Coturnix japonica: one gene and its partner. The protein of the gene in region 1 interacts with the protein of each later gene in a pairwise test. Links are inferred from orthologs where the notes say so. Each region holds a gene or a part of one and is shown on either strand. Other genes may lie near its edges. The genes, in order: ARNTL2 and CLOCK.

The links.
Region 2: the proteins of ARNTL2 (region 1) and CLOCK interact in binary tests that used the Homo sapiens proteins (3 or more experiments, as listed by UniProt). The link is inferred for Coturnix japonica from reciprocal best matches to the Homo sapiens genes BMAL2 and CLOCK.

Annotation. Positions count from the first base shown.
Region 1 is NC_029516.1:62,638,412-62,647,941, forward strand, and holds part of ARNTL2 (aryl hydrocarbon receptor nuclear translocator-like protein 2), read left to right. Parts: intron 1-1,226; coding exon 1,227-1,384; intron 1,385-3,819; coding exon of another isoform or gene 3,820-3,830; coding exon 3,831-3,910; intron 3,911-4,664; coding exon 4,665-4,757; intron 4,758-6,211; coding exon 6,212-6,329; intron 6,330-7,130; coding exon 7,131-7,274; intron 7,275-8,839; coding exon 8,840-9,080; intron 9,081-9,530. UniProt on the Homo sapiens protein: Transcriptional activator which forms a core component of the circadian clock.
Region 2 is NC_029519.1:58,680,632-58,690,602, forward strand, and holds the start of CLOCK (circadian locomoter output cycles protein kaput), read left to right. Parts: upstream 1-3,386; 5' UTR 3,387-7,711; intron 7,712-9,971. UniProt on the Homo sapiens protein: Transcriptional activator which forms a core component of the circadian clock.

The DNA of each region.
Region 1 (9,530 bases):
TTCTCTTACCCACCGTAGCAGGTGGATGAACGGGAAAGCCTTCTGGTGCCTCCATTGAAAATAGGTAAGGTATAGCCTTCTCTTTCAGTTTCCACAGCATCTCTTATAAGCACATGAAAGTATGTTGTCTGTTGCGCTATGCTATGAATAAGTGCTTGTGTTTGTGACTTTATTCAATCTGAGTCATTTTCAGAGTAATTAAATATCAAGAAGACATTGATTATCTCAGAATATTGAGTTCAGATATACTTCAGCAAGTGCTTAGAGCACTTAAAAATAAATAAGTAGTAGGATGAATGCCCCATCTTACTTGCACAGAGGATAATGTATTCCGATGATTACTGTTGACATCAGATATCTGGTACAAATTAAACCTGGGGCCCCCAGTACAAGAATGGTGCAGACCTCTTGGAATGAGTCCAGAGGAGGACCACTAAGATGATCAGAGGGCTGGAGCACCTCTCCTGTGAAGAAAGGTTGAGGGAACTGGGTTTGATTAGCTTGGAGGAAAAAATTAGCTTGGAGGAAGACCTTATTTGGGGCCTTCCAATACTCGAAGGGAGCATATAAACAGGAGGGGGAGTGGCTGTTTATGAGGGTGGATAGTGATAGGACAGGGGGGAATGGTTTTAAATTGAGATGGGGAGATTTAAGTTAGATATTAGGAGGAAGTTTTTCACTCAGAGGGTGGTGATGCACTGGAACAGGTTGCCCAAGGAGGCTGTGGATGCCCCATCCCTGGAGGCATTCAAGGCCAGGTTGGATGTGGCTCTGGGCAGCCTGGTCTGGTGGTTGGTGACCCTGCACATAGCAGGGGGTTGGAACTGGATGATCATTGTGGTCCTTTTCAACTTAGGCCATTCTGTGATTCGATGAAGATGTCAAGGTATTTGCTTGGCTTCAAGGGTCACATGAAGAATTTCAGTTTTGTAATTTTTCATGGTGTCTTTTTTCTGCCACAAATAATCAAGTTGCTGTGAAGTATGATTCAGTGACTCCAAGTTGTTACTTTATAGATTTTTCTCAGTATTTCATGTAAATATTGTGATCATTGCTACTTTGATCAAATGAATCCAATTCAGTTGTCAAATAGAAGTGGTGTATGAAAAATAATTTAAATGCAGGAATTGTTCTTGTGATATGTTACATTCCCAAAGCGAAATTAATAAGTAGTGTAGGGAAAATCGTATATTTCACATCTTTCTTAAAATAATTTTTCTTCTTAGAGAGGCTCACAGTCAAACAGAGAAACGAAGAAGAGACAAAATGAATAATTTGATAGAGGAATTGTCTGCTATGATACCTCAATGCAATCCTATGGCACGAAAACTAGACAAGCTTACAGTATTACGGATGGCAGTGCAACACTTAAAATCTTTAAAAGGTAGGTTTTAGGAAACTAATACTTAAAGTCCTTATTCTGTCAGGAGATATACTACATATTTTCTTTGATGGCAGATACATCTAAGGTCATCTGTTCTGTTTACTTGCTGAATTCCATTCTGAGTCTATTTTAATTTAATTTGATATGCTTGTAGTTTCTAGAATTTTGCTTCATTTTGGCTTTTCTTTCTGGTATACTAAACAACACAAAGTGTTGGCTATCTTGTTTGCTAAGGCGATGCCTTGCAATCAGGTCACTCCTTGATTCTGTTTTGAAATCACACAGATCAAGCAGCTTCATCTTCCATTATTTTCTAACCCTCAAATTAAATGTTTTGTGATGTCTCCACTTCATACTTTCTGCAACAGTAATACATGTGGTTTATGAAGTCAGCTGTACTGACTTCACTAGCTGAACTGCTAGTGAGAGGAAAATGTTCTTCATACTTCTGTTTGTTACTGCAGTCTTTGGGTTTGCATCAGCCTTTTGTATTGGAATTTCTTGTTTGTTAGTTGAGTATAAAATGTACATCATTAATAAAGACCTTTCATAAAAACCCAGCAAAATTCTGTAAGGGCATAAAGTTGAGGGCTTGGTCACTTATGAAATACTGAATAATTCTGATGAGTTTTTTGTCTAGTGTGGGTTCAGAAAAAAATGTCTTCTAAGCAATGGGAAACCATGGTAATGCTTACCTGACTACTAACTACTTATCTAGGTAGTTTCACTGGTAGGGGGGCGTAGGTTGGTGCTTCAGCAATGTTACTTTTTTTTTTTAATAGGGTAGTTTACCAGTGTACTTTCGTAAAACAAACAAAAAAAGGCATTAAACTAAAGAAAAGAATTTAAAAAAAGTAAAATTTACCTGTGGTCAAAAGGAACATCATTACTTCAAACTTTAAAAGAATAGTTGATGATGATTGCAGTTACATTTGAGTCTTAAATACTATGAAATATTAAAGAGTGCAAACAAGAAGTGTTATTAAATGCTTATGTTCTCAGTCACCTTACAATGTACTCACAGATTTCAGTGAACAGTCCATTGTAGATATCAGGGTCTAACTAGGATATATTCTTTCATCTCCTTTTACTGCTATGAATAGCTTTGAAGGTTTTCTTTCTCCCATAAGAAACATTATATACAAATACAAATTAAATGTAAGATTTCAGGGTTTTTGGCAATACTATTTTAGAATAATTTAGCCAACTGTAAGTAAAGGCTATGCCTTGCAAAAAATTTGATTAGGGATAAACATCTAATAAGAATCTCCCTTGTCTTAATGAATTATGTGTCTATCTTAACAGTAATGGACTCAGAATAATTTAGGTTGGAGGGAATTTTCAGTCATCACTGACTCTTTAGCAGGGTGATTTCAAACTAAAAGAGGGGAGATTCAGGTTGAATATAAGGAAGAAGTGAGGTGCTGGAACAGGTTGCCCAGAGTGGTGATGGTGATGAATGTTCGTGAGGACATTCAAGGTCAGGCTGAATGGCACTCTGAGCAGCCTGATCGAGCTGTCAATGTCCCTGTTCATTGCAGAGGAGTTGGACTAGATGGTCGTTAAAGGTCCCCTCCAACTCTTCTTAGGATTCTACGAATTCCTAAAAATCTTCTTTTCCGAGAAGCTTGGAATTTTGCATAAATAATGTCACAAATTAGCGGGCTAATCATGGCGTTTAAACATGCATCTTCATCTTGACGATGAAAACAAAAGTCTTCATCTCAAACAGCATTATTTTAACAGTGGATTATGAAAACTCTGTTTCATCCAGTGCAGTTGTTATATGTATCTTCAAAACAAATGCTTTGAGACCATATAAGATAATGTATGAAATTATAGCAAATGCTCACAAAAAAAAAATAAATTAAAATGGCTAACAAGGATTTTAGGGTATTTGCTACAGATGCTGGGACAGTAAATGTAGTGGCAGAAATGTACAATACCTTTTCAATTAAACCACCTGGAGTGATTTGTTTGGATGGCTGAATATATTATAGCATTAGTGAAGCTTTATTCATGCTAGAAGGCAACTGATAACATAGGAATTATTCAGCTTCAGCAAATGTTAAGGATTCTGGAGCAGGTATGTGAAGTGTTTCTAAATAATGCAGATCTCATAATACCATTTCTTTAGTAGTATACTGAAGATATCTGATCAGAAGTTTCCTTGTTTTGTGCTAAATAAAGGCATGAGAAAATCTGGTGGTATGTCCAAATTCAGTATCCACATATGTTTAAGAGTTTTGGTTGGTTCTTTTTTTTTAAAAAAAAAAAAAACAAAAAAAAAACAACAAAAAACCTCTTTAAACTTTTATTCATCTGTTTTTATTGCAAGGAGAATTTACAAAGTAAAGACCAAATAATAAATATAATTTTGTTAAAAATGAATTTTTAATGTATCCTTTGACATCCTATGTATGTCTACAAATAAGCTGTTTTCCAGGTTCCACTAGCTCTTACACAGAAGTCCGGTATAAACCTTCGTTTTTAAAGGATGATGAGCTCAGACAGTTAATCCTCAGGGTAAGTAGAAGGCAACCCTTGGTGAAATTATGTCCTCTTTAAAGCTTGTTGTTAACTTTGGTTTTTAGTTTGAGTGAGCTAACCACCCCTGCATCCCCTACGTTTTTTTCTTCAAGCGAGTGCTTTGATGCACTTAGTTGGTTTGATTTATAACCTCTGTACAGGAAACAAGATTTTTCATGAAGAGATACAGAAGATAGCAGATGGCAACCCTTCAAGGGATAATAAATCTGTATACACTCTGCATTCTTAATGCTTAAACTGTTTTTTAATACTGATACTGAAATCTATATGCAAGCATATATAATAATCTCAGTTACGTATAAATACAGTTGTTTGCTGTGCATTTAAAATCTTAGCAATGTAATTTGGAAAAGATGCAGAAATAATACCTAAAAGAAAATCTTTCTTCTGGTTTTTGCATGCAGTCATACGCCCACACCCCTTTACCCTTTCTCTTTTGCAGCTATTTTCTTTTTCCTTTGCTGCAATAACACAATTTGGCAAGATCTGTAAGATGACTCCATGTTAATCTGTTTTGCAGCTGCTTTCTTTTTCCCAAAGCTATGTTTAGGAAACTCTAGCTGTCTGTATTTGAAGGTCTGATTTGGTCCTTGCAATTTTTTAAATTGCTTTTTGCTGTGACTTTTAACTTATTTAATAAAAAGCATACAAATGTACTTCCTTTTGTTCATCAATATTAATTGTATATTTTAATGGTTAGTTTTTAAAGATGCTGTCTTTATATTTTCAGGCTGCGGATGGATTCCTGTTTGTGGTTGGATGTAACAGAGGAAAAATTCTGTTTGTCTCAGAATCAGTTTGCAAAATACTTAATTATGATCAGGTGGTTATAATTGAGTTTCTTTGTGTTTATCTTACAATTTCTTTTATTTAGAAGTTTTAAAATTTTGTTGGTTTATTGTATTCTTTTGTATAATTTCTTGGAATATTGTTGGTTTAACCTCTTTCAGATTAAGGCTGAATTACCCAGAATGAAAATTTTAAAGTGCAATCAATGTTCATGACCTGAATAATAACTGGATTTCAGTTGATCATACTGTAGAATTGCAAGTCTGAGGGAAAAGGATAATTTGAAATGTCCTAATTTTATCCCTAAGAGATTTCCTTTAAATGATTATTTTCTTTTTTTCTTTTTTTTTTTCTTTTTTTTTTTTAAGCCTGAGGAAAATTAGTTATAAAGCAGCATGCCCAGGTGGGCAAGAAAGCCAATGGCATCCTGGTCTGTATCAGAACTAGTATAGCCATCAGGAGCTGGTTGGTGATCGTCCCCCGTACTCAGCTCTGGTGAGGCCAAACCTTGAGTACTGCGTTCACTTTTGGGCCCCTCACTACAAGAAAGACATTGAGGCCCTGGAGCATGTCCAGAGAAGGGCAAGCTTTGCATTAAGATTAGACAGAGACTGGGTAAATGAAAGGCTGAATGTTTATCCTGCTTTCTTAGAAGCTTTGCAGTACGTCCATTTCTGACTCTAGTTTATTGGAGAGGTGTTCCCCTTTTATGCAGTGATCACATTGTATGCAGCAAGAGTCCAAAATGAATTGAAGTTTCAATCTACAATACAGATTATTAACTCAGCTCCTTTCTACTTTTTGGTAAGGAATCGAAAAGAAAAGAAAAAAAAAAAAAAAAAAAGGTTGCCCACTTCTTTGAGAGTTCCTTCCTGTTTCAAAAGATGATAGTAGTGCTTACTGTAGTGCAGCAGACCAGCTTTGGTCAGCAGAATAAGCAGGTTGAAAGGATCCCAGCTGAGGAGATCCCTGTAAAAATCTTCAACTAAGAAATGCAGAGGTAGAAGCTCTGTGCAGCTTCCAATCAACTCCTGATTAGCAATGCTCTTTTGTCCAACTAAATGAGAGCTCAGAGTCATAGGTAGCATTAATTTCTTTCTATTTCTTCCCTTGGCACACCATCCCCAAAATAATCTGTGCACATAAGCTTCAGGATCAGGAATCATGTTAAGTAAACATACAAAAAAAAAAAAAAACAACCCACCTTTCTTTTTTACAACACTCAATCTTCTTGAATATGCAACTAAATAGTTTTGTTTTTTCAAAGGGAAGTTACAGCTTGTATATTTTGCTACCCTCTTTTGATAAAAATAATGTTAAGTAATGGAGAAATAAATGCAAACTGATATATAAAAGTTCATAGTAACTGTGATGTTTTACAAGGTGTTTTTTGTTTTTCAGTAGTGCAGAATGTTGTTTTTCTGAGGTCTGTAATATGAAGTGTCCTGTCCTAAAACAGTGGGGTTCTTTTTTTCTTTTTTTAAATAGACCAGTTTAATTGGACAAAGTTTGTTTGATTACTTGCATCCAAAAGATGTTGCCAAAGTTAAGGAACAACTTTCATCTTCAGATGTCTCTCCCAGAGAAAAGCTTGTAGATGGCAAAAGTAAGTCATATTTGAATGCACTCAAATTTCTTTATTTTTTTAAGATATGTTAATAAAGTCAGTTCTTATGTAGGAAATAATTGTGTGCATGGATGTACAAGCTTGAAATACAATTTACATGAAAAAACATGTTTCAGTGCTTATCCGCTGCTTATAATTCATTGCAGTTCAACAGAAAAAAAACTTATTGTAGGCAATAAGTGTGATTGAATTTAGCATTGTTGAACATTTACCAAGTTGTAGTCTGACATTCTTCCTTCCAGGCATACTACTTTTTTTTCTAGTATTTTATAGGTCTTGTCATTACAAAAGACCTGATGTAGTTGAACATGGGATAAAATACTTCAGTATCAAGAATCACTGACTTCTCTGAAAATGCTGTCAATCCTAATTTAACCAAATCTATTTACAGTTATTTCTGATATGAAAAGCATTTTGTACTCTGCAGCTAATAACTGTCTTATAGCTGGCTTTTATAGGCATCTTTGCACTTCCTCTATGTACCAAATAGAAGTTGAAAGTTGATAAAGTGTATTTATTAAAGTATGATTCAAAATGTTAAATACAGCTTAAATTCAGTTTTGTAGTTCTTTTTAAATTTGGAGTCTGTGCAGCAGCCACATTTTCTTTGCCTTGTTTAAAGTTATTAGATGTTTTTTCTTTTGTAATTATAAGGACAACATTTAGGTAACTAAACAGTAAGGAGAATATATGAGAAACTGAAGATAAGGCCTTGGGCTCAGCAGTTTTATTCTTGGATTTTTTTTGTTTTCATTAACTACTTTACTAAATTTTTATAAGCTGGCTTGCAAGTACATACAGATTTTCAAGCTGGACCAGCTCGACTGAATTCTGGTGCTCGACGATCCTTCTTCTGTCGGATAAAATGTAGTAGGACCACAGTCAAAGAAGAGAAGGAGTGCTTACCCAATCCAAAGAAGAAAGGTATTCAAACAGTGTAGCTGAAATGGGGGCTTTCTGTCTTGAAATTCAGTATATTTAAGTTCCAAGCCAGTAGTGTGATCCTTGTAATTATCGCTGATTTCACGTAATAGCTGTAGAGAAGTGTAAATATGTACTGCAGGCGTGTTCTGAAAAACAGTCTAATTGTCCTTTTCTCCTCCCTATTCACTCCTGAGAAGAGGAAGGGAGGAAGGAACCTGGGTTGCATTGTTGGTTTAGGAGACACGGTCTGTTCTAGTCAAATTTTTGAAAGCACTGGAGCAGATCAGAAGAGTTAAGATAAATAACATATGTCTTGAAGATAACTATATGAATAAGGCCTGCAAAGTCTGCTGTTTTGGAGGAAAAAAAGCAAGTAAAATCTTTATCTGATTTACGTTTTGTATTGTGTGTACTTACGAATTATACCTTTCCATTTTTGCATTTTTTTAATAGTAAAGTTAATTTATCAGTGTAATATCAGTGTTTCTCCAATGTCTTTAATTTAGTCCGTAGTTTTAATTTAGTTTGGTATACCTGTAGAGCAGTATATTCTTGGCAAGTTTTCTTTCTGATCTTGAAAGAATCTTCCTTCTTTTTTATTTTAATTTAACCTGCTGCTGTTGAGATACATCATAAAAGAACACATTCTAAAATGGGTCTGTCATTGTAAGTCAGAAGAATTCTGTCCATCTCCCTTGATGTGTCAGCTAACTTGGTGAGAGTAGAATTTATCTCTTACAAACGTGCTTTCAGGCAAGCAGCATTCAGAGAGATCGCATTAAAAGTTTGGGAAACTAGCAGTTTCAGAAGGGTAACTCAATTTTTCATTTGACAGGGTTGATTGATATTTTCCATAGTTGAGAGTTAATGCAGTCAAATCTATGTCAATCATACTTTGGTAAAATAAGATTGCTTTGCCAGTTTGGGGGGAAGACAGTAACTGTAGGATACATAATCTCTGTATGTTGAGGTTAGTGGGATATTGTATAAGTAAGTTTCTACCAGTCATAGAAAGGGATTATCGCGTATGCTTAAATTAAATGTTCTTTAATATTTATGTTCCTGTAAAAATTGAGGAATTCAGAAGTCTGAGATAAGTGGAAAGTAATTTGGGTTATTTTGGGGTGCTCTCTTCATGGATTCTTTTAGTAATTGCAGCAAAAATATGTAGAATCATAGTGTTCACTTAAGATAAACATTCTGTAGCTTCCAAATCAATTTATTTAGTTTATTGTGATTTACAACACATAAGGAAACATGTAAAGGAGAAACAGTGGGTTACTAAGCTGTTGTTCTATTGTTGGTTTTGGTTTTTTTTCCCTTTGATACTACACTGTCAATGCCTATAATTTATCTTCCCAAGTCTTACATAGGGTTAGGAGCACTCTCTTCAGGTAAGCCAAAATTAAGTAGTAAAAATTTACTTCAAAAGCACGCTGTGACATTATCCATAGCCTTTTACAGTTGTAGTAAGTATGCATAAAATAGGATTGTTGGTCTTATGGTGAAAGATTTTTTTAATTACATTTTGAACCATAATTGCTTATTTTATTTCTTTTTATTAGATCACAGAAAGTATTGTACCATTCACTGTACTGGATATATGAAGAACTGGCCTCCTAGCGAGGTGGGAGTAGAAGAGGAAAATGATGTAGAAAAGAACAGTAGTAATTTTAACTGTCTTGTTGCAATTGGGAGGTTACACCCTTACATTGTTCCACAAAAGAGTGGAGAGATAAAAGTCAAAGCAACAGAATTTGTAACACGATTTGCCATGGATGGAAAATTTGTTTATGTAGATCAGCGGTAAGTTTTCTTCTTTAACGAAGAGAAAACGACATGACTTGGTTAGGTCTTGTGAACTTTTCTGACTGAAGGGACTGCAATTTTTTTAAGCATGTTAGGATTTCGGGATGCTGAAGAGCTGTGTCATGAATCTGAGTCCTTGGACTTCATTCTGTTAAAAATAAAATATAATTTATGTAGCAAAATAAGTGTATTGTCCTTTAGGAAAGTGTAGGTTCGCAAGATGAAAATGCATCATAGGATACTCTTGTATACTATATATTAACACAATAAAAAATTTTGAGTTAGAGTAGCATAGCTATACATGTGACTTATTTGTTTATAAGTTATGCTGACAGAGAAAAAAAAAATAATAAGCCCTTCACAAAAAAATGACTGCTTATTTATATCTTAGTATTTGGAGCAAATACATTTTATCTCATCTCATATCTAAAAGTGTCGGTTCAAACT
Region 2 (9,971 bases), on another chromosome or scaffold:
AGTGTTGGTTAATTATCTTGTTAGCACAGAGTTTCACTGAAATCGTAAATCTTCACAGATTGGCCTTGTTGAGGAAATCGCTGCTTTTAAAAGCTTTGAGCTTTTGCTGCTTTTTGGCCCTAGTCAAGCTCTGGAGGGAATATTAATAAATCAGCAGTGGAAATATCACCCTCTGGGTTCTGAATTCAGTAGTGCTTCAGAATAGGAGGTGTAAGAAGTGCGTCTTTGGTCATGCAGCAGAACCTGAAGTGAAAGATTACGGTGCCTCAGTGTAATGCTGGCAGAGGGGGATACAGCCATTCCTATTGGGAGGATAAAGACATAGAGATTTTGGAAAGGGTCCAGAGGAGGGCCACAAAGATGATCAGGGGGCTGGAGCACCTCCACTATGAGGACAGGCTGAGGGAGCTGGGCTTGTTCAGCCTGGAGAAGAGAAGGCTGCAGAGTGACCTCATTGCAGCCTTTCAATACCTGAAGGGAACTTACTCCCAGGAGGGGAGTAAACTCTTCGAAAGGGCTGACAATGGCAGGACACGGGGAAATGGTTTTAAGTTAAAAGAGGGAAGATTTAGGTTGGATGTTAGAGGGAAGTTCTTCCCTAGGAGAGTGGTTAGGCCCTGGAACAGGCTGCCCAGGGAGGTTGTGGATGCCCCGTCCTTGGAGGTGTTCAAGACCAGGTTGGACGGGGCCCTGGGCAACCTGATCTAGTAAAGGTGTATGTTTGGTGGCCCTGCTAGGCAGGGGGGTTGGAACTACATGATCCTTGAGGTCCCTTCCAACCCGGGTCATTCTGTGATTCTGTGATCTCTCATGCCCTTCTGCGTGGTCTAGCTAGGGAAAGCAGCTCAAAATTGCAGCTGGGTGCTTTATTAGCTCAGGTAATGGGCTTTGAGAGGTAGTTTGAAACTGTTAGGTGTTCCCCAGTTTGTTTCTTAAGGGAGTTAAAGATGTGAAATGCAAAGTGATGGGAGAGGAAGAAGACTCATGGTTAATGCAGCTGCCTGCTGCCCTGAAGGATTGAATTCTCAGCCCATACTGCTGCCACAAAATGCCTTTGTAATGTGAAGGCTGCTTTAATTTGGGCAAACCTCATGCCTGAGTGTTTAATTTTATGGCTTTAATATTCTTTTACCGTAGTTTTAAGTGTATAATATGAATTCTTAAATACAGCTGCTTTCAGAATATGTAATCGTATCTTTCAAAAGTTTTGGTGCTTTGCAGTTCCCATGTACTTAATACTAAGCAGAAGCAACATGACTTTGTTTGTAGAGTCTTTTGTCACTTTACTGTTTGCTCACATTGGACTCTTTCCAGCTGTTACATTTGGTCATTAAAATCACTGAATAAGTTTTCTTACTGTGCAGTGATGTTCTGAGGAGCAATGCTGAGCGTATCGTAAAATCATCTGTAGTAACGTTAATGTTTTATTCAATGCAGATCCATTAGAAGTTGATATATCGTCTAAGATTCAGAACTGGTATTTTTGGTACAATCTTATGAAGCTTAAGGGATATTGTGGGCTTTCCTCATCTTTCCAATGCAGATGTATCCAAGTGAGGCGTAAGAGTGGAGACAAATACTTTGTTCTTGTAGTAGTGTTTAATAATCTCTGTGTGAGAAAGCTTCAAGTTCTAGAGCTAAAACCTGATTATGACAGCCTGCAACCACAGGACAAATGGCGTTGGAGTAATATCCATATGTTAAAACAGAATGAGACAGTTCTTAGTGAAAGATCTTTTTTAAGTGTATTTAAACATAAATACTGAAATATAAACATTGTGAGGCTCTGTAGGTGTAAAAAGATATTTGCAGGTGTTTCTGAGGAGGTTTTGATGCATGTTATTTTGGTATGTGGCCAGATCCAGAAGGAATAGAGAGGAGTCAGAACTGTGATTTAAGGTGGGTTCTGAATATTTAGTCCAGGATGAACTTATAGAATCAGAGAATTACCCAGGTTGGAAAAGACCTTGAAGATCGTCAAGTCCAACCACAGCCTAACCAGTACCCTAACTCTAACAACCCTACACTAAATCATATCCCTGAGCACCACATCCAAACGGCTCTTAAACACAATCAGGGATGACGATTCAACCACATCCCTGGGGAGCCTATTCCAGTACCTAACTACCCTTTCTGTAAAGAAGTTCTTCCTAATATCCAACCTAAATTTGCCGTGGCGCAACTTGAGGCCATTTCTCCTCGTCCTGTCACTTGTCACTAGTGAGAAGAGACCTGCCCCACTCTCACTGTAAGAACCTTTCAGGTACTGGAAGAGGGCAGTAAGGTCTCCCCTCAGCCTCCTTTTCCCCAGACTAAACTTTTAGCCATATGTTGGTTGTGTTTTTACAGCTCTCTGTAAAAGTTATCTGGGCACCTTGAAGCTTTGTTCTCACTCAGCTCCTCCGTGCTCTTGTCAAAACGGAGCATCTTGGCACCTCCGCCTGTTTAGTATTCATAAATTAGGCAATCTGTAAATGAGGCACTCACTTGTCGGAAGGCATGTTCAAACCGCACCTGAGTCACACCTACGGGACTGGACTCGGGCCAATCTGGTGACTCTCCCTTTTGTTCAGAAGCACAAAGGAGGGACGGGGTAGAGGTTTTTTTGATGTCTCCTTCCAAAAAAACCACAAAACTCAGATGCTCCCAGCAACAATGAAAAACCCAAACACTAAAAATCCACTTTTCACTGCATACGAGGCGATTAAAGTTTAATTGGGCAAAAGAAAAACGCTACAGTGCTTGTTTTCTTGGAGCTGGAGGTGAAAGTGATGGGCAGCTGTTTTGTGGCCTCTTCCAAGAGCTCTTCAGTCTTTTCTTCCGTATAGAACTTTAAATGTCATTAGGGAATGGGAACCAGAACTCTTCTCTGTCCCGTTGGGACCCAGAGAGGTCTGCGTGCTGCTGGTTCAGTTCTGCCCAGCCTTTTGCTTCTCAGTGCTTCTCACTTGCTCTGAGGACTGATGCTGGAAGGAGAGAGGTCAGGAGTTGATCCAGCTTCCAGCACAGTGTGGAATCTGCAGTGAGGCCGTGCCTGTGATTTCTCTGTTCTGGCTTATGGTGCTGTAACTGCTGCTGGACAAAAATGAGAACGTTTATTTTCCCCCTCTCTGGTGTGTCTTGATGGGAAAAGCTTAGCTATATACATCAGTATTGTGAGTACTAACCTTACCAGTGTTGTAGACCTTCAGAAACAGGTGATGCTGGAGGCTTAGTTTTGTATTTACTTTACATTTAATGTTTGTGTATCTACTAACTTTTTTAGAAGTATTTGGCTGCCCAGGGAGGTGGTGGAGTCTCCTTCTCAGGAGATATTCAAGACCCACCTGGACGCCTACCTGTGTGACATGGTGCAGGGAGCCTGCTTTGGCAGGGGGGTTGGACTCGATGATCTCTAGAGGTCCCTTCCAACCCCTACAATTCTGTGATTCGATTCTGTGATTGCTGAGCAATGCAGCTGTCCCTGGCTTTGGTGCTTGTTTCTATTACAGCTACTTGAAAGGAGGTTGTAGTGAGTTGGGGGTCAGCCTCTTCTGCCAGGTAACAGTGACAGGATGAGAAGTAACAGCTTTAAGTTGTGCCACGGGGAGGGTTCAGGTTGGATGTTAGAACTGAATTACTAACACCTTGTGGTAGTAGTAGAGCTGTGGGACACTTGGAAGAGGAATGCTTGGGAATGGGCTTGTCATCCAGTGCCGTATCTAACTTTTAGGTGTTTAATACTACGGTACATTATTGTTTATGATGTAATACTGGCATTATAGGTCAAATCTAAAAGATTTTAGCATGCAGCTGCCTAAGTATGTGATCTTTGATCCCATGAGCATCCCATTAACTGCTGACCTGACAGTTATCCAGAAGGTTCCAGCACTGCCTCGTGAGTGCCATCAGGAAGTGGTTGTGAATGTATTGGGGACAGCCCTGGAACAAATGGCCTTGGAAGAAAGAGGAATGATAATGTGCGCATTTCTTCATGTGCCTTAACAAAAATATGAGAAGAAAAGTACAATTTTACATATTAAATGATTATCTTGGAAAATATTTGAGTATGAGGTAGTAAGATGCACGATAAGGAAGAAAGAACACTGTAAAATAAATGGCATTAACATATCTAACCTCACATTTCCACTTCCAAGGATTCTGCTGCTGCTTCTGCAGTAAATAAAACATGTTACTGTTTGTACACTTTGTGAAGTGCATCCAGGATGATAAAAGCTTTTATTGGTGTAGTAAATATTAGTTGCTGGCATTTAAGAGTATTTGGTGTTTTTGGTGGCTGTTTCACTGCATGTTTAATACAACATCAGAGACTGGTGTTGGTCTTTTGAGTAGTGGATGTTACTCACACGCATTCTGACAAAGCTGTTGTGGAAGACTCATGTTCCAGCAGCTCAGCGACTGCCTGCAGGAAGGTGGTTGTGGATTCTGAGAGGGTAAACTCACGCTGCTGTGGGCAGGTGGGAGATGGGGAGTTCTTCCTGTGGAACTTGTTAGAGAAATGCCGGAGGCTCAGGCTGGTTTTCCTTGGTCATCCAGAAGCTTCAGGCTGTGTTATGGGGAGAAATGGTGGTGGTACTTGAGGGGACTTTTCCAGCCCTTAGTCCTCTAGGGGTGTGTTTTGTATTTGAAACATAAATGTGAAGATGTGAGAAATCAGGAAGCGCTTCACCTAAATCTGCTTGGCTCAGGGAACAAGCAACAGGGGAGGTGGCTTTTTGTTTTTCTTTTAGGCCCGATTTCCTACAGAAAGTGATTGATACTGTTTATCCCTTTTTTCCCCTCATTCTTTCCTTACATATTTGCCAATAGCTTTTGTAGTCACAGGACACTTGCAACCGTGTTTGTAGGAGGGATAGAGATCTCAGAGTGTCACATTCCTACAGTTTTGGGGAAGGCAAACAAACTGGGTAGAGAGAAACCTGTCAGTTCCCTTTCTTGAGAGAGAGAGAGACGCCGTGCTGTGAGTTTGGCTCTGATTTGCTTTTCAGCGTGTGCAGGTCTCTGCTGTGCAGGAGGTGACTGGTTGTAGGCTGCCTTGTTACTGTGGGGCTGATGAAAGGCAGAGCTGTAGGAGCTGTGCCCTACTGCCCATTACTGCATATTCTGATCATTAACTGATGAATTATTGTCCTCATCAGGATTAGGTAATAACATAGGTACTGAAGTTCATAGCACTGTGATCAACTTGCAAGATTCTCTTTAGTCTCAGTGGAGTGTTTTGTCCTTTGTGGTGGTGGGTCTACAGGAATTTCTGTCAGGCTTAGTGGAAGTGGGGGGGAAAGTGAAGAAAACTTCACTAGCTTGTTTTTAACTCCTGGACAAGTCTCTGCTCAGTAATACCAGATATTCTTTTCAAACCTCTGTTACGGATAGAATGTTTACAAATTTTGTAGGATGCAGCTTATTACAATATGTCAGTTATGAAGTACTGTAGTAGATGTAAAATAGCTACACGGCTTTGACTTGTGCTTGTTTTAAAGTAGTTTTCGTAGTAACAAGTATTCTGAAGTAAACCAGCTTCTCTTCTGTCTGTGCATAGAAAAGCAAGTAGCAGCATGAATCATGGCTTCCAAGAACTGTCAGAGTAGGAATGCACATTCTCCCCCTATTCACACGCTTTCCTCGCTGTCAATTTTAATGAGGTAATATGATTTAATAAAGCTTTTCTTGCCATCCGCTGCAGCAACATTCATTATATGTAATCAGGCTGCTGTTAGCAAGCGTGTGGCTGAGGGTGAAAGTAGTTTGGAACTTGTGTGCTACTTTCAATGATAGCTTGTTATTTCAGTAACCTTGCTTAAAATACATTTCATTATCCATCAGCAATACATGCAGATTTTCAGGTGAGAATATTTTTGTTGTTTTGAGGGTTTCTTTTCAGATTGTATATGTATATTTATATATATATATATTGCCAGCCTAGCAGTATTAAACATTTTGTGCTGCGCTAAAGGTTTACGTGATGTTTCCCAGGTAAAGACACAGTTTGAGCCTCAAGGAGCTTGTGATCTAAGTGCCACTGATATAGAAAATGAGGAGAATGAGCTAAGAAAAGGGGACAAGGATTCAAATGAATGTTAGTCATAGCAAGCAACTTAAACAAGTTGTAATTGCTATGTACAGAGTAAGGTAGACCAGTGTGTAAAAAGGTGGGAGTATAGAGGCAGAAGGTAGCATAAAGCAAATCCAAATAGTAGAGAGATTTGAAGGAATAGAGGGAAAATATTTTACTGAGCAGGATTTGGAAAGCATAACAACATCAGAAGAGTGGGCTGAATCAAGATGAAGATGAATGGGGATGTGGTAGGAAATGGAGAGAGGAAAAACAGAGGAAACGTTTAAATTATGGCTTTTATGAAGAGGAAAAAAGAGGAAAAAAATAGAAAGAGACAGGGAAAGGGCTGGGGAAATGTGCTGGTTTGATCGGTTTGGCAGGAAAGCTGGGACACACATCCTAGTGCTAAGACTTTCCCTTACCCCCTGCCCCACCCTGACATTCAGCTCTTGATTTCAATAGCTTTCAAAAGGAGTGGCAGATCAACAGCACTGGCCTGAAAACTCAGGCATGTGTGTTCCCCTGTCACTGTCTCTCATTCCACTCAGGTTTTGAATGAGCTGGTGGATTTCTTTATGCATTTCTGCACCATTGAGGTGGGACACCTGGCTTCTAGAAGCACCTTCCTTCTTCTCACATTAGACTTGCCTAATGAAATATACTTTTGCAATCGCCTTCTTCAGTCACTGGCATTCTCTCTCTCTATTGTGACATCTTCCAGCTGCATTGTATGTATCTGGGGACAAGATGGGGACAAATTAGGGATTTTGAAGTTCTTTTTTTTACATATGTCAAAAGGAATTGGTTTACGGTGGAAATAGGTGTATGGATTCCTTAACAGATATACTTTGCCTTATGCAAGTGTTCACTGCATGATTGTCAGCAATGCTGTTGTTACCACATTCTGGCATGCGTATGTATAAAGCTCATCCCTGTTTGTAGGAGTGATGCTTGTTTGTTCACATAAATATTTGGGGTATGGTTTGTTCTACTCAGTGGAACTCACTGACGCTTAAGTTTGTCCTCAGTGAGGGGGAGATGGCTTTTGCTCTTTGCTGTGCTGTGCTATGCTGCGTTCCCTGAGTGTTCTGAGGTGGATCACGCCTACTGCCCAAACCCTCATACGAAGTTAAGATTGTATCGGTGTATATGGGTTCTGGAAATGTGGCTGGTATATCACTGGTGTTATGGAAGAAGGGCATAACTTGCTGCAAAGCAGTTGTAACAATGTTAACATGTAGTAGGCGCTGTTAGAACTGTAACTGTGGTGCTACCCTCAGGCCGTTGTGTTAGGCCGCAGGTTTGGTCTTCAGCCTGAAGGAAGTTCAGACTTTAGAGCTGAGTAAAAGGAGGGATATGTACATCTGAAGTTCTCATGGACACTCTAATTTTGTTGAGTATAGAGTTGGGGTGTGAAGTTGTGAACTCTTTAGGGCTAGAACTAAAGTGACCATAATAGCAGCAGATGAAACGGGGCAGCAATCAAGGGCTCATCCACAAGTTGTTTCAAACAGATTCATTTTCATAGAGCTGTTTTTTTGTTTTGCTTTTCAGAACACTGTGCCAAAAAAGACTTTTGCTCAGATGACATCACATTTGGACTACTAAAGCTATCCACCCACTTTTCAAGGCATAATGGATTTCTAGGTAATTTAAGTAAGTATGTAGATTTTATTGCTGCTAAAACAGTACTGCTTTAAACAGAAGCATCTTTTTTTTTTCAACCTCAGGCAAGGTAGACATTTCCCTTCAATTTGAGATTGAAATTAATGTTGTGTGGGTGGCAGAATATACTTCAAATAAGCTTTTAATAAGCTCTCATCCTGTAGATAGGAGCATAGAATAAAACAGTTGTGCCTGAGAAACCAGAAGGAAAAGAAGCAACCCATGATGGCACCATCCTTAGCAGTGACATATGCTAATGTGGCCCTGCTGCTTTAGGAGCCTGAATTAGTGTCTCTCCCAGGCTATGCTCACAGCTTTTGGGGCCTTCTTTCACAGATGCTCTTGTTAAAGTGGTAATGATACTCCATGAATATACAACTACATACAAAGCAAACAAATGCACCTTAATAGGTTCCAATTAGCAATCCTTCTGTTCATTTGTAATCGTGTTTCTGAGAGGGTTGCATCTCCCCACTGCCTTGATTTGGTGCTCTGTTCTATCCAGCTGAAGATGGGCCAGGAGGTGCAGATTTTCATCTCTGCAAGATTCATTCATGTCTTGTCATGCAGTATGTTTACCAGTTGCTTTGTACATCCATGGTCATGCAAATTGGAGCACACGAGACCAGGCAGATAGTCTGGGGTTCCTTTTGTGAGTGGCTGGGTATTACTGTTAAACTTTTACGGTGACTCTGTCAATTAAAAAGGAAAAAATAAATAAATTAAAAAATCCCTTCAAGAAATACAGATCTACTTAAATGTATCAGACTTTGTGCCTGTCTTTCTCAAACTAGGTAGTTTTGTCTTGCTTGTGATAGGTGAACAGACCTAATCTGCTCCGTGCCTTTGTAATGTCAGGCACAAGCACTGAATAAGGAGATTTCAGAGCTCTCAGTGCTTTTCCTTGGCACACCCCCATTATTGTGTTCATTCTGTTTGTGCAGTTCACCTTCAGTAGGATATTGCCATAATTATTGAGCATTTTTGGTACAAATTTTCTTTATTCTGATTATTTATTGCTATCTTTGTGTTCAGAAAGATTCATAATAAAGTGGACTGTGTGCAATAACATGTGCTGTACAAGGTTAAAATCACAACAGAGGATTTTTTGAGCATCCTGATTACTTATAAAGTAAAGCCCTGAATATTCATAATTGTTGTCCTAATGTTTCTGTGCAAGCAAATGGCTCAGTAGAGATGAAAGTATTTTTAATGCTGATTTGTAGAAATAGGAAGAGAACAGAGATTTGAAAGCTGCTGTTCTCCTTGATGTGCGTGCATGTGTAAATGCGTGCAGTTCTGCCTTTGCTTCTCTGGAAATGTGCCTGTATAACCACTTGTGGAAAAACCCCTTTACTAAGGAGAAAAGCCAAGTCAGACCACTGTCGTTTAGATTTGTTTTTACTTTCCGTACTTCCATAGTGTAAGAAGGAATGGTGGTGCATTGGAGCCCATCCATAGGAGATGGGAAATGTAACATTATAGGGCAGGTAGTTTCTCTCTGTCATAATTATTGGGGTCGCTCTATTTATCACAGTGAAGAAAAATCTCAACATATTAAATCAAAATATGTCTAGTAGGTTCTAGAGAGGTAATGATCTGTAAGTGGTCTGTAGGTACCCAATAGATTTAAAGAGAAAGAGATTCCTTCTGAACAGGCTCAGAGTTTATCCCAGGTTTTACCTTTGGATCAGAGGAGTTGACTGAAATTAAATAAAGAAGTGAAGTTGCTGACCAAAGCAAAGCTATGTCCTGTGCAGGCAGTGGGGAGGGAGAGGAGCTGTGTAGGAAAAATTGCTGCTATGTTTGTCAGGCTATTCCAATTGTGAAACAGTAATACAGATTGCAAGACAGGCAGGAAGCTGTAGTTCCACTTTGTTTTGCTGAGAACAGACTGTAGCGTTGAGAACTGTCTTAATGTTTCCCCTCCCACCTTTTGCTTATTACAGGATGGTGCTGAATTTTTTTTATGCGTTTTGGACTTTCTGTGTAGAACCAGACCCAAAAGTTTCTGGTGTTGATGAGTTACAGGAGGGTGGTTCTGTATAGTAATGAATTGGATGACTTCTTACTGCTTCACTTTTTATAGATTAAGAATGTAGTATTCATATTAAAATTTCACAGATGCTTAATGATGCTTATAGTCATTCAACTGATTTTTTATTACAGTTGATGAAAATGATTATTACCTTATTATTCTGTTGTTGGTTTTGCTTTGAAGCCCAGGCTCACACAGAAGAAATCTTCTAAA